Linked DNA regions of Drosophila melanogaster. The protein of the gene in region 2 interacts with the protein of the main gene of each other region in a pairwise test. Each region holds a gene or a part of one and is shown on either strand. Other genes may lie near its edges. The genes, in order: sick, CG18094, RecQ4 and Df31.

Region 1 (7,002 bases), 340 kb from region 2:
CCAGCTGATTCTGTTTTGGCATCCTCTCTCCCGCTTATATCAATTTACATTCCATTTGCCGCAGGACCTCGCCCCATCATCCCTCGACCTTTCTTCGTGGAAACCTTCATTTGCAGCTCACCCGGCCTGCTATCCATCCATCCAGCCAGCCAGGAACTAACCAACCACCACGGCCCACAAGGATATGAAAAGCAATGCACTTGACACTTTGCCGGCCACTTCAGCTGGGCCAAAAAGTGTGCTTCACTTGATGTCCTGTCGGCGTTTCATTAGATGCTTCTGATGGCAAAAAACTGCCCCAAGAGATTCTTTGGCTGCTGTAATTCCTTGTTTTTTTTTTTTTGGGGGGGAGCATGCCTCAAAGCAAAAATGTACAGCGCGTATTTCAATTTGCAAATGATGGGAAATGCCTGTGGCACGGAAAATTGGGAAGGGCGAATAGCTTATGTGGGCCAGTAGGGGTGTAAGTACACACACTTTCAACTCGGCACCATGGCAACAATTTTAATTCAATTCCATTAAAAGTCGCTAAGATTGAACATACATTCGCAGCTGGTGTGTGTTTTTGTTGTTTCCTTCTGGGTTTTGCTTTTCTCTTCTCTTGCAACCTGTCCCTCACTTGGGCACACAATCAAACTAATGTTTGGCGGTAGGGAAAACTAATGAAGCGAGCAGTGAAAACGCGACGATTGATTGCTCCCCCGAGGCAACGAGGAAAACAAGAGCGAAGAGCGAAGGGCGGGGGAAAATGGGAAAGCCAGATGCAATCCAGCAGGAACTGCTCTCAAAAGCCCTCGATTTTGGGAATCATCTGCAGTGCACTGCCTCCAAACTGCAATTCCGTGACTCGTTCTTCTCTTTTTTTGATAATTTATACTCGAGGACTCGGCCGTTGGGGGTGACATTTGTTCATCGCCTTTGCGGGTGGGTTTTTCCGAAAATGGTCCTTCGAGGGGTAAGCCAACACCTCCCCTGGGGTGTTTGAAGATGCATAATAAGACTTGTTAAGTTGCTCGCTCGTTAAGATAAGTGAGCCGGCAAATGGCGACAAGTGCGACTACGGAAACAGCCCGCAATGATTACCGGCTTAAGATATGCGAAATTATCCATATAGATAAGATGCTGCGTGGGGTTCCTTCCAATGGTTAATGCGGCGATTCACATTACGGTAAGAGGATTATGTAGGAAATGTATGAAACCTAGCCACATGCACTGCAATATTGAGAGGGTCATAAGAGCTTCACCAAAATAAGCCATTTGCTGGTGAGCCCCACCGAGCTGAACATTATTGTGGCACTTTTCGGGCTGCATCTTAGCATTAAAACCCAGATTTGCATAGGTAATAATAAAGTTCCCTTTTGTCAGGACAAGCCATCAAAGCTAACAAAGATAAATGATTTGTATTTTTTGGGAAAAGGTTTTCTTTCTTCTTGAAAGTCTTCGAAAAATGTCTGGATAAAAATTGAATTTTACTTTGTAAGCTGAAGCACAAAAGTTCTGTTTAAAATAAGAAGTGGTTTAGGTTTTCGGTTTTTTTCTCCATTAACCTAACAGATGCTTCTATTAAGCTTCTTCTTTTTGTATGTCATGGTGATATTTTATATATTTATATCATTAAATATTCACAGACTTACCTCCATATATCCCTGAACACTGTCGCACTGCTGAAGCACCAAAATGGCCGGATTCGCACGCATTTCTTCGGGGGAGCAGGGCGATAGGAAACCACTATCCGCATCGCTGTGGGTTGATAGAGGTCGTGGTTTGCGTATCTTGTACTGGACATGTCGACTAGGCACTGGGCCCGGGTTGAAGAGCACATAGTTGGACTCCGTTGGAACCGTGTGCGAACGCTGATCCTTTCGCTGTTGCTGCAACAACTGTTGCAGGTGCAACATGTGATCCGTGCTGACCAGCTCGGAAATGGCACGTTGCTGCTCAGAAGTATTTTTGTCGATAGACTTTTTGCCACTGCGAAAGGGCGAAAGATTCAGAAATGTCAGCTTTTTCTTCATCGATTGCTGGGCGGGATTGGCCAGGGAACAGCTGCCCGCGGAACTTGCTGAGTTCGTTGAGGTGGATGATTCTACGAGGGCCGTGGATGTGGTCTCCGTATCTTTGGACTCCTGGCTGTTCGACATGCTGGCAGTGTTCTCCAGTTCGTTGAAGAGCTTCTCCAGGTTCTGTTGCTCCAACTTGGCATTCACCAGCTGCTCGTTGGTATAGGGATTAGGTATGCCGATGTCCATGGGAAAGTTCGCTGGGTCTATAATAAAGTAGTTGTGGTGATCAAAACTAGACATGGTCTCTGAATTTTTGGCAGTCGGTTCTGCTTCTGATTCCGCTTCTGGCATAGCTGAAGTCTCTATGATAATAGTCTCCTCCAACTCGAGCTCCTCGTTATCGTATATTACTTCTGGCACCAGTTCATCTTCATCCTCGCAGACCAAGTGCTGTCTTGAGCTGAAAAGGGGATCCCTCAATCCGTGGGCTTGAGTACTGGGATATCTCATGGCTTTCTCGTTGATAAAGTCCACGGGATCAAAGAGACAGTAGTTCTCCATGTGCGAGGTGGCAGCCTTGCGCTGTCTCACTGGTAGATTCCTTAGCTTTTCGGAGTAATCCGCCACATCTTCATTATTATTGGCTGATTCTGGAGCTGGAGGAGGCGGGGATATCTCCTGACTGATGGGCCTTTCCTCCTGCTGCTGCAGCGACTTCTGTGAGCCCCTATGAAGGGTGGCAAACAGGCCACGAGCTATGCAGTTCTTCAGCTCACTCACACGTCCTTTGTAGGGACTCGACTGGGCACTGCTGCTCAGGATCGAGGATTCGTCGATTCCCAGCTGCTTGCTGAGCTCCTTGCGCTCCTTCTTGCTGAGCACCACCTTGCCACGACTGGGCGTATTGGGGGCCGAGTGGAGCAGCCTCGATGGCATTTGGGAGAGGGGCGGTGGTGTGGGAGGCAGCGGATCCCTGTACGGTGGTGGACCCACCAAACAGGTGGCATAGCTAACTGGTAAGTCCGGATAGGCCGTACTCTGCGCCGATGCCGTGGGATCCGTGGCAAGGAACTCCAGTTCCATGTAGTTGGGATGTGGCAACATCTTCGGTTGATTCTGATGATGATTGTCCGTTCTTTGGCTCTTGGGCTTGGCGCCCAGTTGGTTCTCCTCATTCGCATTGCGATCGGGCTTGGTTGAGGAACCCGGACGCAGTTTTCCTGCCTGACTGGACATTTCTAGGGTTTCACTGCAGCTTCCATGGGCTCAGCACTTTTCACTCACACACTCACTCACAAATTTTGTATACATTTTTTCGCCGCTTGGGCCAAATTAATGGCTTTATAAATCTTCATCTTTATGGAGGGCAAAAACGCGTTAATGGGTTTTCTAGTCTTTCGACCAAAAAAAATAAGGTCCTTTTTCCATGTCCTCTCTCTCTCTCTCTCTACTATCTCTGTTTACATTTGTGTTTGTAATTGGATTTTTTAGCTGATGCATGTCAAAGTTAAATTAAAACTGACCCAGCTGGTCGGGGGAAAAAAAAGAGTTATACGTTTCTAGGTTGTTTTTGCGGGCAAAGAGTCATAGTCATGGTCATGGTTACGCCGTGGTTTCGTCTGCTTTTGAAGTGTTCCAGAATGCCGCCGAAACAATGCCAAAGTCGAGCTTTTTATAATTTGTCTACAAAGCAATTAACAGGAAGCCAACGCTGCAGGGATTGCGATAAATGGTGAACAATAATACAATTAAAGTACTGCACATGCGGTTTTAACTTGAATTTGTGCATTGAAGCCGCAGAGGTGGATACATATATATTTGCAACTTAAATGCTTTAAATTGAAAAAACCGAAAAGCATTCACATACATTTTTCTTCAGCTTCCGGCAAACAGCACAGGTATTATTTTGTTCGTGCAATTTTCGAATAAAAGCGATTGTGCGATAGAAGCTGGAAGGGAAATTCAATACGAAAATGCATATCAAGTGCTCGCTAGAGTTTCACATTTGATTAAGTTTCATTTCTCCTTCAGTTTCCCCCCGGTCGCAAAAATGCAGACATAACGGAGATATCAATAACAAATTGACAGCAAATGGATCCATGAATTTATTAAGTGGAAAGCGAAGTGAACAAAGGAATGGTTCATCACTCACGTACAGGTATCTTTTCCATTACACTTGCTGAGATTCGTAGAGTAAATGTGAGTAATCCAAATAGATATAACAAATAATGAACAATGCCAAAGAACAGCATGTTCGCCAAATCGAGATTATCCCAGCATTGTTTCCACTCGGAAAACCAGCAATGAACTTTTAATTTCCTTTATTTCAGCCCACTCACAAAACAAAACTATGACGAACATTTTTCGCCAGGCCAACGTGGCAACAACTGAGAGGAAACCGAAATGGAAAAAGTTTTATTGGCAACAAATTGAAAACCGCCTGGCCATTTGAGTCAGTGAACCAACAAGTTGCATAATTGTTGGCGCATGATAGAATTAAACGCCTCGCAATGAGCCGATGTTCCAATGGCTCCTCTTCTTCTTCCTCTTCATCCTGCTACTTCCGTTTCCGGAAATGGCAGGCTGCAGGTGGCAGAGGCGAAAGAAGTTACTCCAGTTAAGTGGAGTTTCTCTGCCGGTGTCTGTGCCTGCGTCCCATAAAGTATACTGAAAGTAATTTGCAATTAAAATGTTAATTTTTAATTGAATTGCAGATGGCAGTAGGCAATGGCAGTAGTCTCGAATACTGAATCAAGTTAATTAGTGTCAAAGTAGGCAGCTGAAAAGGGGAGGGCTGTTGGGCAGCACTCAAGCCCAAGGTTGATTTATCCAGATTAGCAAAGTATGCTAATGAAATGGTGATAAATGCAAATAATATAAAATTCCAGTTTGACTTACTTCCCAGATTAAATGCAATTGGTAATCCATCTTCTAGGAACAACACAGTTTTTCTTTACATCACCATTACGATTGTAGTTAAAGAAGCAGAAATGTTAAAATCTATTCTACAAATGTGCTCTAATCAGTTGAATCTATACTTTTATAACTGGGCAGTACACGTATTAAATGTTTAACTCCTATAAGGCCACACAATCCTTGTCTGCGTCCATTCCCCTGGGCTTAAAATCCCCCTGAAAGCCACGTGGATAGTGGCTCTCTACTCCAGCATCACCTAATCCCTGACACTTTCAGTTTCCATGACGATTCCGTGAAATGGGGACGAAATGGGGGCAAAAAGGAAAAAAATGAAAGGACCCCGAAGAGAAAGGCAGAAGGCAGGACTTAAAGTTAAACACTTTTGCTTTGAGGTTGAAGTTGCTCGCACTTCATCTGCCTTTGCTTCCAGCTGGCAGCAGTCAAAGTTGACAAAATACTTGTCAAGATTTGCGCATTGAGTTGAGTCCTCCTCTTCCAACTTGTAATTGCAGTTTTGCCGTGGTCTCTTTCAGCTCTGCAGCTCTGAAAAAAAGAACAGATTTCCACCCACTGGGAAAACCCGACGTTTTGCCGGAGGCCATCAAGCCGCAAACTTTACGAGTTGATAGCTGAAATAAAGTGGAGCATGCATTCCGTGCCTTTTAGCCCGCCCACCCACTTCATGACATCATTTTATTTGCACTCAATCTGAGTTCTTTTAGCGCCGCTTTCTGCGCCCAACACGCTGTGCAAACTTCGCTGGCAAGTTGGTTAGAAATGCTTTTGATTTGCTAGTGAGTTGACCAGAATCCCAGCCCCTCGACTCGCTTTCCACACAAAAGCCCACTTTTGAAAAGTGCACGCTTTTCTTTCCATCCTTCAGTTGCTCTTATTGCACCAAAAAGCCCAACCAGAACCCAAAACGTTATTCAAACAAAGAAGAGAAGTATAAGTATGCTGAGGTTTGCCAGAAAAAACTCATAAGTACGCCTTTTGTGTGACTTCTAGATACTCTATCCACTAGATTTCATTTGAAAATTGCATCAAAACAAATATATTTGGCGAAAATTCTAACAAACATTGAGAGAATTTTAAAGGGTAGGTATAAATTCATATAATTCAGTAAATTCTTGGCCAAACTCCATATGGAAATTTTAAATTACAGGGCATAAATAAAGTGCAAAGGCCGTACCGAAAAAAGTAAAAAGGGAATAAAAAGAGCCAACTACAATGCGTATGACAGTTTGAAACACTTCTAAGGACTTTTGAGTTGCGCCGCAAGTTGGGGCGTGGTAGGCGTGGCAAAGGACCACAAAAACAACGCACAACTTCCGCTCCAGCTTGAGGGCACAAAAAAATATGTATAAAACTAAATCAGAATCTATGTGCAATTCAATTAAAGCGCAATTTGCAGGCAGTCATCATATTTTCGTTACTTAACGAGCCAGTTGGTGGATAATGAAGAGCGCGAAGGGTGTGGGGCAATTTAATAAGACCCATCGGGTGGGGCAAAACGGAAATCGCTTGAGGAAATTGTGTGTTTCAAGCAAAAGCATACATAATAAACTCATATAAAAGATTGTTGCACACTTCGGGGAGCAACTGGAAGCGGAAAGCAGGAGCGGAGGTATAAATACCCGTATTTGCAATCCGAAGAAGTGGAAGTGGATGGAAAGAGTCGGAAGAGGGATTCTGGAGACAGGCGAATGTATCCCTAGGCGGACAACGGCGAACACGAGGAAAAGCGGAAAAGCAGCGGGGACCGCGTCGAATGTTATTAAAAAAAGGAAAGCAGAGCAACGCTAAAACAGCAAACCCCCCCTGCCGCCCTCCACCCACTCATTTTCCCTCCTCCCGGCGAAAAAAGTCATAAAATTTATTAAATGCCTAAAAGTATGACAGCAATAGACAATTTATGGTGGGGAAAACCAAAGGAAACGAAAAAAAAAAAACAAACTAACCGAGGAAATGAAAACAAGATTTTTCTTTGGCTTCGTACACCCTTAGAAATTCAGTAGACATTAGCGGAATTTTAATGACCTTGCGTTAATTCAAGCAAAAATTATAAATATTTATCAAGGGC
Region 2 (5,539 bases):
CCGCAGTGAGGTGGAGGAGCTGATCAAAGGTACGGAGGAGCTAAACCATGGGCTGCAGAAAGTGAAGGACGTGCAGAAGGGCATTGAAGAGAAGTTCAAGCATCAGCGCGACGAGATCGAACTCATTGCTGGATTGGAGGTTGCCATAGCCAAGCTGGAATCGAACGTTCAAAGCAGCTTCCAAGCCACGGCCTCTGGAGTGGGAAATTTGACAGCCATTGTTAACGCAATCCAGGGTCAGAATGAAAACTCTATTAGGAATCTTACCAAAGTGGAGCTAGAAATCAGGAAAGCCCTGGAACAAGTGGCTGCCAATCAGAACAAATACGAGCAGAACCTAAATGAAGTGGCCTCATCCGTCAACTCGCATCTGTCGGAGATTCAGCAGCTGCTATCACAGGCCGTCATAGGGGAACTCATCGGCTTGGACAATAAAGCGAAGGTCCTCCAGGAGCAGCAGCGCAACATCGTGGGTCAAGTGGGATATCTGGGCGAACTTAAGGCTCTGGCAGATCGTGCCAATCGCAAAGTCAATCAATTGGAGTGGGGTCTGGTCATTCTCAACCGCACTCAGTCCGAGAGCCTCAACAGCATCGAGCACACTGTCCATGGAGTGCAGGTGGCCACCTCACAGGTCGATCATAAACTGGCTGCCCTACTGAACAATCAGAAGAACATTGAAAGGACGCTGGATGGCTGCAAGCACAAAAATCCGTCACACCAGAAGCCCCACGAGATCTGGACTCACCCGGAACACGCACCAATTTACAAGTAAGTTTGTATGCCCTACTTCTGGGTGCACACTAAAACCACTCTTTTCATTTTAAGGCCAAAACCAGAGGGCAATCAAGGATACGAGAACGTCTATGCATCCCAAGAAGAGGCTGAATACCTATACAAACTTTGGTATGGAAAGGGCCAGTAGCATTAATACGAAAACTGAAGATAGATGTTTTATGCCATATTCAGAAATTGCTTGATTTCCTATATCAAATCCCAGCATGTCGATTCTATCTATCTTATATAATTGTATATTAAACCGTTCTGTAACACAATGTAATAAACAAGAGTAAATGGAGGAAATCGAACTTTATAAGTTGTATATTGCTAAAAAGTGTTATGTCCAACTTTATATATCAATTGTTGGAAAACTTATAAAACTAGATAAATGCACCTGACATAGAGGAAACCGGCTCTACCTCTATAATTTTGTTGGATCCAATGGATGAACCTGACCATCATCCCGCTCAAACTTAATTATCAGCTGCGACTGATGCTGGTTCCAGTGCTCCGATCGATGTAATTTAGCATTCGTCTTCGAACGGAATTCCTCGACTGACAAATCGATCTCAATTTTTTCGTTACTTGCATCCGGATCGGCGGGGTAAGCATCATCTCCTGGCAAGAGATGCACTAATCCATTTGTACACTTGTGCACTACAGGATGAATCAGCTGAATGCCTTTGACCTCACGCTCTGCTGCAAACTGACGCAGGTTATCTAAAGAGGAGAAGTTTAGGCAGCGCGAAAGTTCATAGAATTGTGGAGGCGGCAGCCAGAGTTCTTTTCTTAGGCTCGCTTGAAGGTAGTCCAATGGGGAACGCCACTACAATAATATAAATGATAGTACATTAAATGCAACTTAAAGGTTTCGCGTATCGCTCTTGTGCCGTATAATATCCCACCCACCTACCGCAGAATCCTTGACCTCATTAGGTTCGATGTGAACCCTGGGTTCCTGTTCCAGGGCAGTCATAAAGAAGGCCGTCTCGAAGCGCTTCTTAAACGTGGACGGCGTGCGCCAGACAGACCACTCGTGAAGTGACCAGACATCTGGAAGCACATCCAGCTGCTTGCAGAGCTCCAGGAACTGGCTGGCATTGTTGTGGACGATGTGCTGCCAGTGGGCGCGGTCAAACTGGTCATAGAACGCTCCATAATCGCTAGTGGAGGTCAATGATTTGCTGTCCCTGCACAGCAGGATACCCAACTCCTCGAAGGTTTCTCGTATGGCAGTCAGCCGCAGAGCTAGGGATCTGTTAGGTGCGAAAATAATGTTACATCACCAATTTCCTAAAAACCTATTTGAGTTGCATACGGATCCAGCGATTTCTTATCTGCCTTGGTGTGGAAAATATCCGGACGTGGACCCTTCACGTGGCCCACGTTCCGCAGCTTAGCGGCACTGAACTCGTTTCTCTGAAAGTGTTCCAACCAGGCAGGCGAACTGTCCGAGGCATCGCAAACTCCGCCAGGAAACACGGATGACTCCGGCATGAAAGTGGACTTCTGCGTGCGTGTAAGGAGGAGGGCCTAGACGAATAGATTACGTCAGAATGGTGAAGCTAAGTTAACGTTAAGCTGCAACTCACATTGTAATCACACGACGTGGACTTTTCAACTTGGTTCTTAGCCAGAAGGATTAAACTTGAGGAGGAGCGAATTTTGGGCAAAAGCCTCGACATATTTAGGTAACACAGCGATATCGATAGAGTGGGTGGTAATATCGATTGCTCACCAGCTGATTTTGTTTACACTTTTGAAATACCCACCACCTGTTGTAGTCAGATGGTGGGGTGGGGTAGTTTATAATTAAAAGAACTTCTGAAATTAATTTAAGTAAATTATTTTATTAAGCCAATAAAATATTTCTAGGTTTATTTATTAATGTGAGTACTTATTTAAATTTCACATTCTATCACTGAAGTCAATGAAATATAGGATTTTAATTCATTCCCTCACCTAATGTCAGAGGTATCCGAGGGTCGAGTCTTTTGACTAATGCGTTAAAGCATTAACAACAAGCTCTTATTGCTTTGAGACCAAAGATCAAAGGTTTGAAAAAGTGGATTTGGAAATTAAATGGATTATTGACTATAATGACTACTAAAACTGGAACTTATAGACCTTCGGCTAGCCTTATTGTAGCCGCCAAAGAGGATTCTTTAGAGGACTACGACTACAGAGTATGTTAAGTATAAGATTATAAGCTCTAAACGTTTGCTGACTGATTGTCTTTTATTAAAGTTATTGTTGATTAAACGAACTGAAAAAACTTCCTATGCATTGAACCATTGCGTCTTTCCTGGCGGCGTCTTCGATCCTATAGAAGATCAATCTGCGAAATGGATAACTTTTTTCAAATCCTTTGGGGTGACCGATGAACAATTAAAAATGTGTAGGCACAATCAGGATTCTCCAAGGCCTGAGTTTCTATCCGGTGGAGACCATATTTCAAGGGACATTGCACTGCGACTGACTGCGCTCAGGGAAACCTTTGAAGAGGTGGGCATCTTGATTTGCACAGAACAGGACGACATACAAAAATGGGATTCTAAATCGGGTCATCCTAGAACCGTGCTTCTCGAGTCAAGCGAACACTTCGAATGGCAACATCGGGTTCACAATGATGCCTCACAGTTTCTGGAACTCTTTCGGCATTATAAAGTCATTCCCAATATCTGGTCTCTTCAGGAATGGTCCATTTGGAGGACAGCAGCCACTGCCAATCGGAAATATGACACTGTTTATTATATCACCATGTTAGATAAGTACACCAGGAATATAAAGCTGCTTCTGGAACCGCACGAGGTGGCTTCGGCCCACTGGTTGAGTCCGATCGAGGCTTGGTCGAGCTCACAGAAAGCCATTATTTGGCTCCCGTTCATGCTGCTCTATGACATCGCTCGTCTGATGAACTTCTATAGCTTTCAGGAGCTTCTCAACTTCTCCCGCCAAAGGAGCTGCAATGGAAGCACAATGGTGCAGCCCGTCTACTATCGCTGCGATGACTGCATGTTTGGAGTTCTTCCTGGTGATGAGCTCTATCCCAAAGAACCAGGCGCTTGTACACAAACAATTATCTTGTCGGGATCGGTGGACGACCTTCATCGAAAGTCCAAGCAATACAATCGCTATATCGTCTACGACTTCCACAAGGTCGTACTGGCCTCCAATATACCGCCCTGCGATGGGCATCTGCCACTGCAGCCTCTTGTCAATAACAAGCTAGCCAAGTTGTAGTAAAAGAATATAGTTTTAATAGAAAATATATATATTTCCTCTTGCGCTACAACAAGTTACCACTATCCAACTCGGTCTGTATGGCGCGGCATGCGTGGCACAAACCGTCCTTGTTCTCCAATCGCTTCTTGGCCAAGCCCTCGAGATCTTGTCCGCTTTTGTACAGGCTCACGCCGGCCTCTGAAACAGATCTGGAGTACTCAATAGCCAGCAGAGTGTCGGATAGTTCGGAGTCCAGTGTAGATCGACAGTGAACACAAGAGGACTGCTCTGGATTGGAATTGACAGCTATTTTGTCGCCAGTTCGGAACACTGTGGATACTGTGGAGGCGAAGTTTTGCTGCAGATTGGCCACAAAGGCTGATGTAAGGTTCTGTAAGCTGGCAGTCTCACCATGCTCCATCCCATAACGTGAGCCTTTTTGAAAATGTGGCTTTAGACGCTGTGCATGTATGTAAAATTGAATCTCCTGCTCAGTTAGGTCCTTGAGAGGTCGCAGCAGCTTAACATCTCCAGACAGCCGATCGTCGAGGAGAGCCACATCCAAGGCGGCACTACCGCCACGACCTAGCGCTATTGCAGTCAGCAGCTGGGTGGCTAAGTCAACACTTATATTAGATTCAAAGACGTGAGTACATTGCAGACACTGAGCCACGGAGCAGATGAGGTTCTTGCGCTGTTGCTGGAGGTAATCCTGGCGAGCTGTCAGACTTCGCAGTTTTTGAAGCTTGTGGATAAGCTCATTGTTTGCGTTGAGGAAAGGACTATAATCCTTGATCCGCTGCAAGGAGCTGGGCAAGGCGCCCAGTTCAATCACATAGAAATCGAAGGGTGCGTATTGTGTTGATAATCTCTGCAGAGCTTCCAAGTCCACAGGATCGCGACCTTGCACTTGCTGCTCCTCCACGTAGACCACACGTGCGTTGCAATGGAGTCTTTTAAACGTGTTCTGTGTTTGCGCGAAGTGCAACATGTCGAGCAGAACGAGCGACTCTGCGGACCCGTCCAGGACAAGAAGCACCTCGGCGTTTCTGGGCAGAATCTTGGCGGCTCCCAGAGCTGCCCGAAACTTGTGCCTCGCATACGCTAGAAAGCATTCCCGGCACTCCGCAGTTCGGAAGTTGAGTTTGTAGAGCTCGCCGGAGTTTACATCGCATTTGCTGCAATTCCCTGGACTGAGGACGATTCCTAATGGTAGGGATTCCACTACCATGGCGTGGGCGGCACCCTCGTCTCCAAAATCATCTTCACCAATGCTGCACATGGCAATAATTTACGTCTAATCCACAACAAAAAGAATTTCGCAGATAAACGAAATGACCAGGGATGAATACGTTGTGAAATGAATGGATACAAAATAGCGGAATTCTAGACAAATGTCTTCTATCTATAATCTATCTATATAGATTATCTATATTTAGTGTCAAAATTAGACGGCAAGCTAGCGCTTTCTTATAATATAATATCGAATATAATATATCCAATATAATTTAAAAAAGCGTAAACCTTTAACTTA
Region 3 (9,573 bases), on a different chromosome or scaffold from region 2:
TGACAGCCATTTACATTAGGAAAGTGAAGGGGGGTATAAATAAGTTCACAAATGAGGAGGAGGGAAGGATTAACTGCATAAACTTTGACAGCCAGACGTAAGATATGATAAAACCTTGGACCTTGGTAAACTAGTTATCCTTGCCGTATTATCCACATAGTTACCTACAGTTCCTGCGGCTCTCCATCGTGATGGGCCTTACTTGGATATTCAATGTCATTCCGTATTCTGCACGGCTCCACATTTTCTGGGAATGGGTCGGGATAATATCCGAGTATTTTCACAGCGCGTTTGGAATTGTTTTGTTCGTTCTGCTCGTCCTGAAGCGCAGCACATGGACTCTAATGATGGATTCTTAAGCTTGTTTCTATATAATTCTAATAATTGTTTACAATTAAAGCTTTAAACAATTAAAGCCCCTCATTTTATTAATATCCTTTGCTGAACGAAGGAATTGAATTGAATTTTATTGAACTCAATAAATAAATATAGTTTTAGAAAACGATGTACTTTAAACTGCCAAGAGGTCACCGCGACAAGCTTTTCACTTCGCCACCCTCTGGTAACACTGATTCTCCAGCCACTTTCGATTCTTTAAAAAACATCGATAGGTATCGCCAAAAAAATCAGCTGCTCTGCTTGTAGTTTTGCGATTTCATTGCAATTTTAATTTGCTTTACTGTTCAAAAAGAAATACAGTGCAAAATATGCCGAACGAAAACGCAGAGGACCTCTCGGGTCAAGAGCTAAAGCAGAAGGCCAAGGAGGTGGCCGACGCATCGGAGGCAATGCTCGAAAAGGTTGTTGCCGGCTTAAATATCCAGGACACGGCATCGACGAATGCAGCAGGAAACGAGGATGCGGAGCAGCCTGATGGTGCCAAGAATGAGGCTTCAGTGTCTGCGAATGCAAGTAAGTTTTCAATATGCCTGTGAAAAGTCATTTAGAGGCTCCTCCTGCGGCTGAAAAAATGAGGTTAGGTTTTGTCGGGAACTACAGTCCAACCTCTCTAACTTGAACTGCTGTGCTATTCATTTCAATTCAATTTTCAATTTTCATTTTCTGTGCAATTACTCCAAAGATTAGCCCTAACGGAAAAATAAACAACTCATAAATCATAAATACATATTTGATTTTGATGAAATATGAATATACTTACATAGATACAATTGAGTTTTTTATTACGAATAAAATATGTGTAATATAAGATTTCTACCTTGTTGATTCCATTGATTGATGCTTCATTGAAACCCCAAAATTGGGCAAATTTGTTGTCATGGGAAACTAGTCCACTGTCGTGATGCCTTAAGCTTTTTTTGGGGCAGATTAGTCATTCCAGTTTAAACTAATCGAAAAATGTTATAATACTATTCAACGCATCATCGTTTCTTTCAGGCAAACAGGCCTTGCTACAAGCCGTTTCCGATGCTATGGCCAGCACCCGTCAGATGGCCAAGAAGTTTGCATTTTGGTCCACACAGCCAGTCACCAAGCTGGACGAGCAGGTGACCACCAACGAATGCATTGAACCGAACAAGGAAATTAGTGAGATTAGAGCATTGCCATACACTCTGCCAGGCGGCTTCAAATGGGTGACACTAGACCTGAACGACGCCAATGATCTCAAGGAGCTGTACACGCTGCTCAATGAGAACTATGTGGAGGACGATGATGCCATGTTCCGTTTCGATTACCAACCCGAGTTTCTAAAGTGGTCGCTGCAGCCACCTGGCTGGAAACGCGATTGGCATGTTGGCGTTCGTGTGGAGAAGTCCGGCAAACTGGTTGGCTTCATCTCAGCCATTCCCAGCAAGCTGAAGTCGTACGACAAGGTGCTAAAGGTTGTGGACATCAACTTCCTATGCGTCCACAAGAAGTTGCGCAGCAAACGGGTGGCTCCAGTCCTGATTCGGGAGATAACGCGTCGCGTCAATCTGACGGGGATTTTCCAGGCGGCCTATACAGCTGGAGTTGTGTTGCCCACGCCAGTGGCCACCTGTCGCTATTGGCATCGATCGCTCAATCCCAAGAAGCTGGTAGACGTGCGTTTCTCTCATCTCGCACGTAACATGACCATGCAGCGGACAATGAAGCTGTACAAGCTACCCGATCAGCCCAAGACGAAGGGCTATCGCCGAATCACAGCGAAGGACATGGACAAGGCCCACAAGCTGCTGGAGGACTACCTAAAGCGCTTTCAGCTGAGCCCGGTGTTCAGCAAGGAAGAGTTTCGTCATTGGTTTACCCCCAAAGAAGGTATTATCGATTGCTTCGTGGTTGCCGACGAAAAGGGCAACATCACTGATCTGACTAGCTACTACTGCCTGCCATCGTCCGTGATGCACCATCCGGTGCATAAGACGGTTCGTGCCGCATATTCGTTCTATAATGTGTCTACAAAGACCCCGTGGCTGGACCTGATGAACGATGCACTGATCTCGGCCCGCAATGTCCAGATGGACGTGTACAATGCCCTCGACCTCATGGAGAACAAGAAGTACTTTGCACCGCTAAAATTCGGCGCCGGGGATGGAAACCTGCAGTACTACCTCTACAATTGGCGCTGTCCATCGATGCAGCCGGAGGAGATTGCTCTGATACTCATGTAGTCACCTTGTCACCTAAGCTCACATTCTCGCCCTGCCTTTCACAGCTCCCCTCCTCCGCTTTCTTCACCCTGCTGGAAGTGCCGTGCGGCTGCTTTGCTTTGCTCCTATTTACGTAGCTATTACCTGTAATCTTCAGTTATTCCAGCGAGGAAAGCCCTTTGCGAGCATACACCTAAATAGCATCATTGTGAAAATTGCATTTTGCAACGGCCAAGCTTCGATATTTTTTACTACAAGAACGAACACAAATTGTATAAAATGCGCAGCAATATCAATAAAAATGTAACGTTTACTTGGACCTTTATTGCCTATAATTGACAATAAATTATTTTGCTGCTCTTTTAAAGATGACAAGTTTTTATTTTTTTTAAGCAGATTATTGTATTTTTGCCCACTGTCCCAGCATGTGATAGTCTGGCCACTCTGTCACATGGCCATTGGTCTGGCAAGGTCGGTGAAAAAGCGCGCGCTAAGCAAAACAGCTGCACTTGTGTTGGTTTATTAGTTAACGAAATCTGATTCCAATGTTGGTTTCCTCATAATATTGACAATTAAAGACAGCCGCCGACATGGACGATTCGGTGTTCAAGCTAAAATACCAAAAGTACAAGTTGCGCGTCAAGGTGTGGGAGAAGGACTTCAAGAAGAAGAATGGCCGTGTTCCATCGAAGGTGAGATTGGGATGCGGATATGACAAGTATGCTAACTGGTTGACCTGTTGCAGTATGATATAAGGGACGCCAGTCAGGAGATTCGGGACTCATACAAAATGTACTACAAACTGAAGACATCCTTCCTGGAAGAGACGCTGAACGATGTTCTCAGCGAAGATGGATACGATATTCTGGAGATGTCGCAGGCCAGTGATTTCGGTGTGAGCATGCTGGACCAGGACGTCAGTCTTAATGAAGGTCCTCAGCTACCGTTGGATATATCTGCACTGGTGGGGCCGCAGAGCTCTGGTAATCTTGAGGAAATTCCACAATCGGTGGAGGGCTCATTCTCAAATCTCATCGACCTGCCCAATCGTCAAGTACTCACCAATCTGGTCAATCGCGATGAAAACCATGTCATTCGCAAATTCGAGGCGGTGGAGGAGCTGCCAATCAACCAAAATGCCTGGGGCTTGAATGTGAGTAAGAAGCCACCAGCTCCACCACAGCCTGTAGAGGCCTCCAAATCCGCTCCGGGGCACGGAAAGCAACCCAAAGCGGGCGCTAGTCTTAAGCCCAGCTTGAGTGCCAAGTTATTCCAATCCTCACGCGGTTTTGCTAAACGAAATCCCCGAAAGCCGCTTTCACGTTGTGTCAGTTCCTCTAGTTCCACCACATCACTTAGCTCAGTTCCTACTGATCATCACGAGGAACTGCTCGACTTTGAGACCATACTCATACGCAAAGCCCAGGAGTACAAGGAGAAGCAGCAGGCCATAGCTAACAATCCAATGCTGGCCAGTGAGCACAGCAAGGAAAGTATCAAAACACTGGTGGACGACGGCTGGCTCCGGCGAAATACAAAGGAAAACACTCTTGATGAAGAAGTGCCCTTTGCGGAAGCAAATAATAACAGTGGTACGTCCAAGAAAACAAACTTTGGCCTGGCCAATCTTGATTTAAGTAAACTAAAGCCCACTGTTAAGGAGGAAAAAGTGTTGCAGGCCAAGCCCGATCAAATGGCAATCATACAGGAGCTGCAAACAGATATGAATTCTAGCATGAACCAGAAACCAGATCATCTTAATCACACACCTCCTGCATCCAGTCAAAAATCAGTCGCTCCTAAAAATAAACCTCCACCTTCCGAGCAGGAAACCGATTCGGATTCCGACTCTGTTGTGGCTGAGAGTGAAGAAGAGCAGGAACCACAAGAATATCGGCAACTATCAAAACGTCGCAAAATTGTTTCAACAGCATCAGGAAAAGTGGAAGTAGCCGCCCCAGTTGAAATTCCCAACAAAGTCGAACCAGAGACAGAAACATTTGCTCAAGAGAATCCAGATTTCTCTGCAGATGAAGACCAGGATGCTACATATGTACCAGAGAATAAAAAGAAAGATAAGGCAAAGCGCAAGCAAGCCGCCGGAAAACAAAAGACCACTAAGCCCAAAGCGGAACCAAAACCGAAAACAGAAAAGAAAGCCAAAGTCAAGGCCGAAAAGAAACCCAAGGCGGAGAAAAAGCCGAGGAACTCTAAAAAAGCCATCGCTGTCGAGCCGGCTCCTGATCCAGAAGAGGATGAGCGCCAACCATTGAATCCAGAAGATTTGAAATACGTGTTGGCCTTGGAGGCGGGAGATATTACCTCCGTTCCGCGCATTAATGTGCAGGATCTAGAAGAAGCGGATGCTACCGCCCAGCGCTATATTAGAACCTTCGCCGCTGGACCCAACCCAGGATTGTCGGAAGGGTCCAACATTCGAGTGGATGAAAAGAGAGCCGCAGCACGAAAGAAGCTGGAGGAACGCATAGCAGCTGGTAAATTAAACGAGAACTTTGTGACCATAAATATTCAAAAGAAAAAATTCGTGCGTGGCAAAAAGTCCGTGAACTTCAGCAAGTACAAGAAGCAACAGTGGCGGCATAAGAAACGAGTGGCTGCCTTGAGTGGGCCGGACATGGATATGGGTGGCTGTGATGGCGGAGTGCTCACGTGCTTCCAGTGCGGCGGAGTCGGGCATTTCGCTCAGCAGTGCAAGGTGAAGGGAGACAGCTTGTTGCCACTTTCGGCACAGCTGGAAGAGGATCCCTCGCCGTTTCCCACGCTTGCCGAGGCTCAGGAGATGGCCAGTCAGGGAGCAGTGGTGGCACACAGTCGCAACATCTCACGGCTGCCCCAAGCGGCCAATGCAGCCATCCTGCAAGGCGATGAGTTGAACGAGTCAGAGGAAGATGACCAAGAAAGCAGCGGAGATGAGGAGGTACAGCAGCATCCAGATCCAAATTGGTCTAGCGATGAAATGGACGTTGATTTCGAGGCCCTAGATGCGGCCGTCGAAGCTTCCCTAAGCCAACCGGTTTCGCAAGAGAAAGCAGCTTCACCTATTAAGACATACGTCGGCCACAAGATTCCCGAGGAGTTCCTCAAGCAGGCTGGACTGGACACCACAGCCTCTAGTTCGAATCGCAGCCAGCACGGTGGGGTGAAGCCCCTATACGATCTCCTTCCGGATGGCAGTGTCCAGGACACGACGCCAGAGGTCCTAGAGGCACTCCACATGTTCGGGCACACCAACTTCAGGAAAGGTCAAGATCGCGCCATCATGCGCACTCTCTCTGGACTATCATCGCTAGTTACACTTAGCACGGGCAGCGGCAAATCTTTGTGCTACCAATTGCCCGCCTATTTGTATAGCCGGAAAGTGGGAGCTATTACCCTAGTCATCTCACCATTGGTGTCACTTATGGAGGATCAGGTGACCGGGGTGCCGCACTTTCTGCGAGCTCACTGCCTGCACACTAATCAGACCGCGCCGCAGCGTATGAAGATTCAGCAGATGATTGCCAATGGGGAGATTGACATTCTTCTTGTCTCTCCGGAGGCGGTTGTCGCCGGGGAACGAGCCACAGGATTTGGAGCCATTCTTCGCCAGCTGCCGCCCATTGCATTCGCTTGTATTGATGAGGCGCATTGCGTGTCTCAGTGGAGTCACAACTTTCGACCCAGCTACCTAATGATCTGCAAGGTGCTGAGAAAGAATCTCGGTGTACGCACAGTGCTGGGGCTAACAGCCACGGCAACTTTGCCAACGCGTGTTAGCATTATAAATCACCTTGGCATATCGGATGGAGAACGTGGTATTATAAGCGACATCCCACTGCCTGACAATCTAGTGCTGTCCGTCTCCAAGGATGAGAACCGGGATGCAGCTCTGCTCCAACTGCTCAATAGCGAACGGTAAGACTTGGCCCACCATCTTTGAAACTTGAAGGAGACTTAAATACATTTTGATCATTCTAGCTTCGAGCCCTGCCAGTCCATTATTATCTATTGTACGCGTCGTGACGAGTGTGAGCGTATCGCTGGGTTTATTAGAACGTGCGTGCAAGACCGTAGGGAGCCAACTCAGGATCAGACGAAAAAACGTAAACGTGTGAATTGGCAGGCTGAGCCCTATCACGCTGGAATGCCCGCTTCCAGGCGACGAACCGTTCAGAAGGCCTTCATGAGCAATGAGCTGCGCATTGTGGTGGCCACCATTGCCTTTGGTATGGGCATCAATAAGCCGGACATACGCGCGGTAATCCATTATAATATGCCAAGAAACTTTGAGAGCTATGTGCAGGAAATTGGTCGAGCAGGACGCGACGGGTTGCCTTCCCACTGTCACCTCTTCTTGGATGCGAAGGGTGGCGACCAGAGTGAGCTGCGTCGCCATGTGTATTCTAACTCCATTGATCGGCATGTTATCCGTAAGCTGCTGCAAAAGATCTTTGTGCCATGTAGCTGTGACAAGGAGGCTTCCAAGAGGACAGCTCTTCCGATTCCCCTTGAAGGTGATGGTCCTAGAGTGCATATGTGTCCGGGACACGAGATTGGCTTTTCCGTGGAGAAAACCGTTGAGATGCTGGACATCCCGGCGGAGAACATATCTACTTTGCTCTGCTACATGGAGCTTGATCCCCGATGGTGCATCAGTGTGCTCAGCTCAGCATATGTGATGGCTAAGGTAATCTCGTATGGTGGGCCAAAGTACTTGAAGTAAGTCCTTTAGACACGTGTATTGTGTATGTGTTTAATGTTATTGGTTTTTCCTTGCACAGGCATGCTGCAAAGGAATGTCCACCATTGGCCATGGCTATTGCTTTGCAGATTAGAGATAAGACATTCAAGGAGGACTCTAACATCATAGAATTCTCGGTCACAGATATCGCGGCAGGAATTGGCTGGAACAGTGGTGTGGTCAAATACCAACTGAAGGATCTGGAGTGGGTAAAAGGTGAGATGGTAATCCGTTCAAAAAAGGATCCGTTTAATTAGAAATTAATTTTTCGATAGTAAATGGATATCCCAAGCGATCGCCCATCACGGTGAGCTTCTATGATTTGGGATTCCGCATCAAGGTGCCGGGCGATTTTACCGAATCAGAGATCGACAACGCTCTGGACACTCTCTATACGCGATCCGTGAAACAGGAGCGTACGCAGCTCATCCAGCTGCAATATGTGGCCCATGGATTGGCTGCTGTGGCCTACAGCTCTTGTGGCCAGTGCTGCAATGCGGATTTTCCGCAGGATCGGGGCGAGCAGCTAAAGGCTATCGTGCGCAACTACTTTGCCAATGACTACCCACAGGATCTGGAGCTGGAAATAGAGGTAATTGCTTGGCAACACATTTCAATTTCTTACTTTTATTGCTTTCCTCTCTGTCCATTAGCCAAGTAACGTGCCGGATGAGAACATCATAGACGACGTTCATGCTCTAATAAACATGTACCCGGACAATACATTTACCGGACGTAATATTGCGCGCATCTTTCATGGCATCATGAGCCCGAACTATCCGGCTGTCATCTGGGGACGCTGTAAGTTCTGGCGTGCCCACGTCAAAGTGGATTTCAATCGCATCCTGCACCTGGCCAATATGGCTATTATCAAGAGGCGTACGTGACCGTAATGTCGGGATGAACCGCCGATACCATGGTTAACCAATTAATAGCTCCAAGAATTTTAAAAATATGTGATGCCATTCAATAACATTTTACTCGCACAAGTCTGATAATACAAAAATAAATTACAAATTCTATATAAACAGCTTTTGTACTTATTATGAGTGGAAAGAGAAATTCGTACGGACAATCTAAATTTTTAGCTTGGTTTTTAAACTCTCTAAATCTATGTGTTTCATTAGCTAATAAATTTGCACCATACAATCCCACGCCAATGGAACAATAACAATTTATGATAATTTCATTGCCGAAAACAACAGAGCACTAAAATAAAGTAAACAAATGCCAAGCTCGTTTAGAGGCAAATTGCAGCTACGGCTTCAAATGAAACAGCAGAAATCAATTCGATGGAGCCCGTAAAGAAACAAACATCCGGCTGAGTCATTCCCAATAACATCACGAAATGTATAACCCCGGTCGAAGGTGTCATCTTCAAATCGAAGCCTAGCCAAAGGTCGTCCTTCCTCAGTTCACACGAACGCGAAGCAAACAACCCAACAAATGGGGGGATCTAACAACAACTCAGGGCACAGACAACTGGAAACAGAGAAACATCATTGAAGTTGTCGGATCAGCGAAGCGTTTGATAAAGGTTTTTTATGACTTGGCCATTTTGTGAGGCCTTTGGCTTCTCGTGCCGATGTTGTTTATAATCATAAACGAGACTCGAGTACACAAAAGTCGACCCAATTACAACTTGTTTGTTCTGAGAGTGAGACGTCAACGTCATCATCCTCGCTCCATGATCATCCACATTGTGCAGATGGCCAGCGAAGCCATCGAGCAGCAAGCTGACCTTGCCTCCAATTTTACTCCAATTTCGAGGCATAAAAGCGAAAATCAATTGAAATGGTAGCAGGCAAATACCACAATGCAAGCAACGAGATAGGAAATAATAAAAAATAAAGGAAAAACTAAAAGCAACGAGCAACTTGACTGGCCAGCTAGCTGATGCAACGGACAACATGGCGTATGCTGAATATTAAACAATTGCTGACATTCCAAAGAAAATACCTTGAGATGGGCTTGCTTTACAAGGAATATATAGACTTCGATTTTGTATTATGATTGCTAATGTTGAGAATTCTTCAACGACAACAGTTTATGTTGAAAGCATAGAAGATCTTTACATTGCTATCATATATCGAAACACTATTTCCCCTCGCTCACTAGCCAACTTTAGCACTTTGCTGACAATTTACGTACCTGCTTTAGGCCACATTCTGTTGGCCAACCGACCAACCGTTCGATTGAGTTCAACTACGGCTATGGCTAAAGGCTACCAGAGCTGACCCTGTT
Region 4 (7,743 bases), 2.1 Mb from region 2:
AGCTGACCTTAAAATGAGTGCAGCTGCTATTTGACAGCGCCTGTGTGAGTGTGTCGGGGTGGACTGCACTATGGGAAACCTAACCACTTTTTCTGGCCAAAATTAATAACTTCAGAACGGAGAAATTTATTAGGAAAAAATTCGACAAAATTTAAAAATTGTTCAAAAGTGTGGACGTGGCCGGTTTCGCGGCTTTAAAAATGCTTATGTATGGCAATTTATATTTTTATCGAATTTTGGGTTGAACATTTTTTTTGCTTTTGCCACTCACTTACTCATAATGCAAGCCACACTGATTAAATGCCTTACAGAATGTAAATAACGCTTCAGAAAAAAATTGGTTAATTTTTCATAGTAGAGTTCTGTTGCATTTATTGATGTCCACTAAACATAGTATACAAACATGAGTAAGAGATATTTACGTTATACTTTTTATACATTAGTAAGTAATTTGGGGACCAAAGAATTTTATTCAGAATAAAAAAAAGGCATTTCCAAGTCTATTTTTCTAAATGTTATTTTTTAAATACCACAAATTATGAATTTAGTAAATAGATCCGTTGATTTTTTTCCTTAAAAAAATCTACTGATTTCAAATCAAAGCCCGCCTCAACGATGTAAAAAAACTAGTAACGATGACACCTTTACTGCTCTGAAATCATCTTTTGTGATGAAAATATAATTTTGTTCTGTTCAAGAATATAGGTATCTTCATTGATATGTACGTGCTTATCTACGTATATAATTCTTTGCTGCGAACTTAGACATTAGAGCATAACTGATTTGAATTCAATCTTTTTTGTGCGTTCAAGGGGATTTCAAAATGGTTGAGAATATTAACCTTAGACCAGTAGTGCCCAATTTCCTGCGTCGCGGAAAAATCTGTTTTCTTTAATTATTGGTCGATATATCGCCTTAGAATATCGTGTCGAAAGTTTCAAAAGCTAATTCTCGAAATTTTGGGAGATGCCCTTCGGATTTCGGAAGTCATACTTTCCTTGACGGCAATCTTTAAACCATGTTTGGTTCTATATGAAGTAAAGACTTTTCAATACAAACGAATGCCTCGTTCCTATAATTATATTTTAGAAACAAGAAACAACCCCAAAGCAAGGCTAAATGGAATAAACCCAAAATTTTACAGACGATGAAATCGAAAACCCGAAACAAATCACCCACCTGTAAAGCAAACATCCGTTGTCCAATTTTATTAAATCAGCATGTTTTCACGTTCCAAGCCGACACTCACAAGCTCGAAAGCAAAAGTTTGAATTTCAATAAATAAAATCTTAAAAATCTAATAGCGCTTGTATCCAAGAGCGAATGCACTTCACTCCAAAAGCCAAAGACACTAGATTATTCTAGTGTCTTTGCAAAAGCCCATTAAAATTTTACAGCCCAAAGTCCATATTAAAAAAGCTCGAGACCGAGGATTGATCGTCAATCAATATAGATCAATAAGTGGAGTTTAGCATGAGACCTAAAATTAAATGTTGACTTATGAAAATTGAAAACTTGTAATTATATGTATGTATAATAGCGTCTATGTTCTTCGGCAATGGAATCTCAGTCCTAGTGTATTGTTTTCCTTGCCAATAGCCTAAAATATTGTAAAATTTTAGTGAAGCAGAAAATTTACCAGCTGCCTGGTAGCGCACTCTAATTCTTTTTTCTATTATACCGATCAAGGGACGCAGACAAGGCCACTATACATATGTATGTATGTACGTACTTATGCGTGCATATCTGACTACCTGAAAATGTTTTCAGAGGGGTGAGGATTATTTCCGTCGGTTTTATGTGTTTGATTACATACATATGACATATCTTTAAGATATTATTTTTAAGATCTTGTAGACTGTGTAATTTACAAGGAAATTGATTGATGTAATTTAATAAAAAGCTTGAATTTTTTAAAAATGACGATATGTGTATATATATATATATGAACATACATGTTTGTGTGTTTGTTTATTTAATTTTTAGGAGTACCGGATCAAAAAAAAAACTTAGAATTGGGAAGGTGTATTACACGAAAAATCACTCAGGTCAATGAGAAAAACAAGGATAGGAATGCATTTGAATATTTTACCTGCTATATTTGTGTAGCCGCTAAATAATAGTTAAAAGGTGGCAGCCCTTTTTAGGGGACCGTTATTTTGAAATATTTGTCACTGCTATATTTCATCTCTTTAATATATTAAAATAAAATTGTAAAAATCTATCAGCATAAGCTAACTCCGAATTAAATAGAGAACGGGTGATAACGATAACAAACAAAGATATGTTTTCCGGAGGCGGAACTATCGCAAGCGGACTACCGACGTCTACCAACACTACAGGGCGGCGCTTTAAAAGCCGGTCCGACGCTCACCGCTCTCTCATTCGGCGTTTTTCTTTGTGACTGTGTGGACGTTCTTAATTGTACGGCAAAATCTCCAGCAACCAAGCTACTTTCTTAGCAAAGCTACTAAAGAGGAAACTATATTGATAAAATTTCGTTCTTTTAAAATCTTTGTGCTGATATTTAAGGCGTGCTTGGTGATCCAAAAACCCTCAGTTACAACGTGTTTTCTCGCTTCGCGTTTGAAAAGTAATATCTAACAGTAATTCAAAATGGCTGATGTGGCTGAGCAAAAGAAGTGAGTACTTTGCTTGCCTTGTTTTCGGACGTTTGTGGATTTTGTTTAAGCAATGGACTTGTAGCGAATTTTGCTAATGAAAATCTATGTTATTTGCCGAAAAGATTTGGAAATTTTCTTTTGAATTCTGTGTCTATATACGCAAACCGCTTGTTGGCACTAATGTAGTTGTCTCGTTCCCGCCAAAGGCAAAACGGTGTGCGCGCAAAAACCGACGCCGTTTAATTTGGCGCGGCGTCATGGTGCCTTCTCGCTCTTTCTCCGGCCGGCAAACAGCAACGATGAATTATTTGTGTGTGTGTGTGTAGCGGCGGAGTAATGCGTTGAGTGTATGCGGACGACAGGCCAAATGCGCAAAAGTCTATAGACATGTGTGTGTGTATGCGTGTGCAGCATTCAAGTTGCCGCTCTTTTCTTGTGCTGTTTCATTTCATCTGTCTGTGCTACCTCGTATGTTGCTTTGCTGCGTTTCTCACCAGACATCAAATTTCGAGGCTTGCCTTTTATACCCATTTGATAGCTTAAAGCTCGAAGCTTGAAATTAACAGTATAAATTTTCACGCATATCTATATTGGCATTACCAAAAATACTCCCTCTTTCCCTATCGATGAACACTTATGTATATATTTTTTTTAAGTAGTTATTATATGTTGCAGCTTATAATACATAACAAAACAAAACTCATGCCTAAGGCTGTTCCGGTTTTCTTTGAAAGACGCAGGTTGTATGACGTTATGCTACTGTTTGTATCGTTTGGACCGTTATTTTTGTCGTTTAGCGTTGCTACTTTGCAACTCTCTTTTTGTTCGCCCTATAGAATTCTATCTACCTCAGATGGCGAGTATCTGTTGGTAGATGAGTGCGAGAGAAACGACTATATTGTCATTAATCCCATTAAAACTGGTTTTTATTTCTATCTTTGTTCGTTTTAGTTTAAACGGGTCTCGCTTTTCATTTTGCACGTCTGCAAGCGTGTTTTTGGTTCTACCCTGTTCTCATCTGTTGGTAGAGAGCACTGAAATAACAAATGAATATATGCCATTTATATGAAAAAGAGCGTGCCGCCTAATCGCACTCACCTTTTCGCGCTTCCTTTTGCGTCGCAGCTTGCACGAGTTGTTGATCCCATTTTTGAAAAACGCCGGCAGATGTAACAATGCACTTTTTTTTTAGTTTTAATTCCGAACGTCCTGGGGCTCTTATGAATAGAAAGTGGAGGATGAAAACATAAACGTTACCTACCGGCGCTATATTGAAATTTTTCTTTTTTTTTTTTAAATTCAATTAATATTTAATTAATTAATAATTAATAGTTTTAGTTTTTGATAATTTTTAATTGATTTACTGTTTAGAGTTTTGTATGTAGTAGAATGCTATGCATACGAAGTTCAGTTCGGCCACCTTCGGAAAAAATTATAAGTGCATACTGACTTTCGTCTCTGATTATCACCCACAGTGAGACCCCTGTTGTCGAGAAGGTCGCAGCTGAGGAAGTTGATGCTGTGAAGAAAGATGCAGTTGCCGCCGAGGAGGTAGCAGCTGAGAAGGCGAGCATCACAGAAAACGGTGGCGCCGAAGAGGAGAGCGTAGCCAAGGAGAACGGAGCCGCCGACAGCAGCGCGACCGAGCCCACCGACGCAGTCGATGGTGAAAAGGCGTCTGAGCCCACTGTTTCTTTTGCCGCCGATAAGGATGAGAAGAAGGACGAGGATAAAAAAGAGGATTCCGCTGCCGATGGGGAGGACACCAAAAAAGAGAGCAGCGAAGCTGTTCTACCTGCTGTCGAGAATGGCTCCGAGGAGGTCACCAACGGTGACTCAACAGGTATGATGATATCAATGATATCAATGCCAAACAAATTTTCCACGTTCATGTTCTTATTGTTCAATTTTTATTATCGCCTTACAGATGCTCCCGCCATTGAGGCTGTAAAGCGGAAGGTGGATGAGGCTGCAGCCAAGGCAGATGAGGCCGTCGCCACGCCGGAGAAAAAGGCTAAGCTTGATGAGGCCAGCACAAAGGATGAGGTTCAGAATGGGGCCGAGGCTAGCGAAGTGGCCGCCTAAGGGAATCGCCCGCGGAGCAGCAAACTCAGTAATCTACTTATTAAATACTTACTAACACAAAAAAAGCAAATCACAGAAATTACGGTTCTACCGCCAGGAACCCGGACTGTATCCATTTTCCGCTCTTGTGAGCGGGTGATACGTGGGTGGCTGCTTGGGTGGCGGGCGCAATTCTCCAATAACAATCCGGCAATGGGAGCGTAGTTTTATAGCGTACCGGTTCTCTCTCTCTCTACTAACAAACAACCTACCAACCAACAATACCGGCAACAAACGAAAACAAAAAATCCATTATTATTTAAAAACTTACTTAAAATCTTAACTTTAAAGCAAAGTATATATATATATAAAGCGAAGGATTAAGAGAACAATATTAAGCGAAATTAAGATGCGAGACCCTCTATGTTTTAAGAATAAAAGTTGTAAACAAAAGCGTCAAATTTAATAATTGTAAAAAAAAATACGAAGCGAATGAAACAAATTGCAAACAAAATCTTTAAGTAAGAAAAACATCAAAACAATTACGGCAAAATAACATATGTAATCCTTTACAATTTTTAATTTTACAACCGTATCTTATTTTTGAGTATGAATATTTATATCGAACAAAGTAAAACTAAAAATTCAGTAAAATGTAACAAAAAGCTGCCAGCAACAACCCCAGAAAAATGTATGCCAACCGGCTAAAAAAATACTACCACATAGAAACAATAAAAAGTACGAAAAACAACTTTTACAGCAATACTCTGAAATGTTTATTTTTAAAATGCTTTCGAAATCGTACCTTTTTTATTTGTAATCAAGGTACCACCTATTTCACATTCCCAATTACATTTTATTTACTTGTCTAAGCCTACGAAATAGTCTGCGACGAAACTCTCATTAATGTTCAATGTTTAACAACGATTTAATGGGCAGGAAAGGTAATGGCCAGTAAATCCAGCATTCAGCAAAATCAAGATTCGAGATTATTAAAAAATAAAATGAAACGTAAAAATTAAAATCAAACTGTAAGCGTAACTTTTATTAATTTGAGCATGTTTGTATTCGCACAAATAACAGCTGTCGCCAATAGTAGAAATTATTATTTTCTTGGTAGGGTGCGGTCCAAGTACATATTAGTGGAAAGTAAACTATTTTAGGTAATATGATTTCGACACAGAACGTTACAAATAGTATTACTATTTTGCCTACGGTAAGTTGTTTTTTTTTTTGTATTTTTGGACTTTCGTTTAATTTTAATCAGAAAATTTAATATTTGATAATCTCTTGACTCATGACATTATATCCCATATATTTACGTCAATTAAGAAGCCTGTAAAACAAACACGGCAAATCTACAGTTCACACTTTAGCTAAAATTACATGAAGAATAAACTCCGCAAAATTTTATTTCATTTCATTTATTTCACGCTTAATGACATCCAATTTTTTTTTATTTTAACCTTAACAATAATAAGAGTACAGGCCAATAATTAAACCTTATCTACTTAGATATTAATATCAATATGAATAATATGATAATGAAAATATTATACCGATTGGGAAAAAAATTTTATGTAATTGAAAAAAAATCTAAGCACTTAAAAAAGGCTATTATCTAAAAATTACAATTAAGGTGGATAGGTCAAATCATTTATATGCTGGTGCACAGCCTCTTGACATTTAATAGAGAAATTTTGGGACAATCTTATTAATCTATTATAAACCACTTCAATATTGGCTCGGTTATGTAAATGAGCTGTTGAGTGATGCCAAGGGTGATTAAAGATTAGTTTTAATATTTTGTTTTGTCTGATTTGTAGCAGGTTAATGTGACATTTGGCCATTTCTGACCATACTGGAGCACCGTAAAAAGATAGTGCTTGGAAGATTGACCTGAACAGAACATTTTGTTTTCAATGTTTTATCTGGAATTTATGTTTATAAATGGATAAAGCGAGCAGATAATGGCTTTAAGTTGTTCGATTGTGTCACTTATGTGATCTTTGAATTTTAGCCTATTGTCTAACGTGATAGATACCCAAGTATTTGACAGTTGTTTCCCAGTTGTTTCTGCAAAATTAATTTCGATAAATCTCTGGGAAGTGTTCCATCTTCCAATCCTTCTGGATACCAATTTATACTAGTCTTTACCCTATTTTACCCTTTATCCGTAGACAAGATTATTTGAAAAGATTTTATCAGGTAACGTTTTTTTTTTTATTTTTTGTCAGAATCAATAGTCTAGCCAAAAAAAATAAATGCCAAAAATCTTTATCAAAGGTGTGGGCGCGCGATTTTTTGTCGGCTTGTAGGAGTGGAAATCTTTTTAAACATGATTGATTTTATTCATAAGTTTGCAACGCAGGTAAGAAAATATTTACGTACTCATATTATTAAGCATGTATTTTATAAGATATTTTGTCGGCCGTATGAACGTCGAGATTTCAGGAACTATAAAAGCTGCGTTGAGATTAAGCATACAGATTCTAGAGACACAGACGCAGCGCAAGTTTGGTTTGTCTTGCCAATTTCTAGACTATAGCATTCTCTGTTGTTTTTATGTTCAATTTATTTTCCTTCGCAGAGCATATTGTCATGCCCACAGTTTCGACATTTTTTTGGGGTCTTTTTATTTCACTGCTTGTTTTGTTAATTTCTATCAGTAATGCTGCGTTAATCGTAGCAAATCGTGGCCAAATCTTTTGATTTCGTTTTTAAGTCTGCTCTGGTTTTTGCAAAATGTTTGCTATTGGAATGTTTTGTAAACAGAAAACAGCTATTTAACTGTTTTCCAAACAATAGAGCAGCCACCTTCCTTACAGTTTTAATTCCGTTGTTCGCAATTACTTTTTTACTGGACATTGTCCATTTATGTAATTAAATTAAATAGCATTATTTACGATCAGCACGTTTGTCCCTCCTTTAAATTTATTAATGAATTCTTTTATATATTATACAAGTGTTTTACTTGCCTTATTCGTTTCACCAACAGTACGGCAACCTTCGCGATAACTTTTGGTGACGTCTTAATCGAAAATTGTTGCCGACG

The links.
Region 1: the proteins of CG18094 (region 2) and sick interact in a two-hybrid assay, tested with the Drosophila melanogaster proteins (one large-scale study listed by BioGRID).
Region 3: the proteins of CG18094 (region 2) and RecQ4 interact in a two-hybrid assay, tested with the Drosophila melanogaster proteins (one large-scale study listed by BioGRID).
Region 4: the proteins of CG18094 (region 2) and Df31 interact in a two-hybrid assay, tested with the Drosophila melanogaster proteins (one large-scale study listed by BioGRID).

What each region holds. Positions count from the first base shown.
Region 1 is NT_033779.5:19,823,511-19,830,512, reverse strand, and holds the start of sick (sickie), read right to left. Parts: upstream 4,040-7,002; 5' UTR 3,240-4,039; coding exon 1,635-3,239; intron 1-1,634.
Region 2 is NT_033779.5:19,487,607-19,493,145, forward strand, and holds CG18094 (uncharacterized protein), read left to right. Parts: upstream 1-2,655; 5' UTR 2,656-2,879; coding exon 2,880-2,966; intron 2,967-3,027; coding exon 3,028-4,023; 3' UTR 4,024-4,069; downstream 4,070-5,539. Other genes in the region: CG13083 (uncharacterized protein), read left to right, coding at 1-771, 829-925; CG10194 (uncharacterized protein), read right to left, coding at 1,202-1,606, 1,694-2,036, 2,099-2,313, 2,373-2,465; Ctu2 (cytosolic thiouridylase subunit 2), read right to left, coding at 4,070-5,287.
Region 3 is NT_037436.4:8,169,462-8,179,034, reverse strand, and holds RecQ4 (RecQ4 helicase), read left to right. Parts: upstream 1-3,056; 5' UTR 3,057-3,178; coding exon 3,179-3,280; intron 3,281-3,333; coding exon 3,334-6,503; intron 6,504-6,566; coding exon 6,567-7,307; intron 7,308-7,369; coding exon 7,370-7,545; intron 7,546-7,604; coding exon 7,605-7,921; intron 7,922-7,982; coding exon 7,983-8,216; 3' UTR 8,217-8,395; downstream 8,396-9,573. Other genes in the region: mthl7 (methuselah-like 7), read left to right, coding at 1-97, 161-359; Nmt (N-myristoyl transferase), read left to right, coding at 708-912, 1,396-2,609.
Region 4 is NT_033779.5:21,624,566-21,632,308, reverse strand, and holds Df31 (decondensation factor 31), read left to right. Parts: upstream 1-2,376; 5' UTR 2,377-2,616; coding exon 2,617-2,642; intron 2,643-3,332; exon of another isoform or gene 3,333-3,658; intron 3,659-3,722; exon of another isoform or gene 3,723-3,847; intron 3,848-4,099; coding exon 4,100-4,467; intron 4,468-4,551; coding exon 4,552-4,709; 3' UTR 4,710-6,000; downstream 6,001-7,743.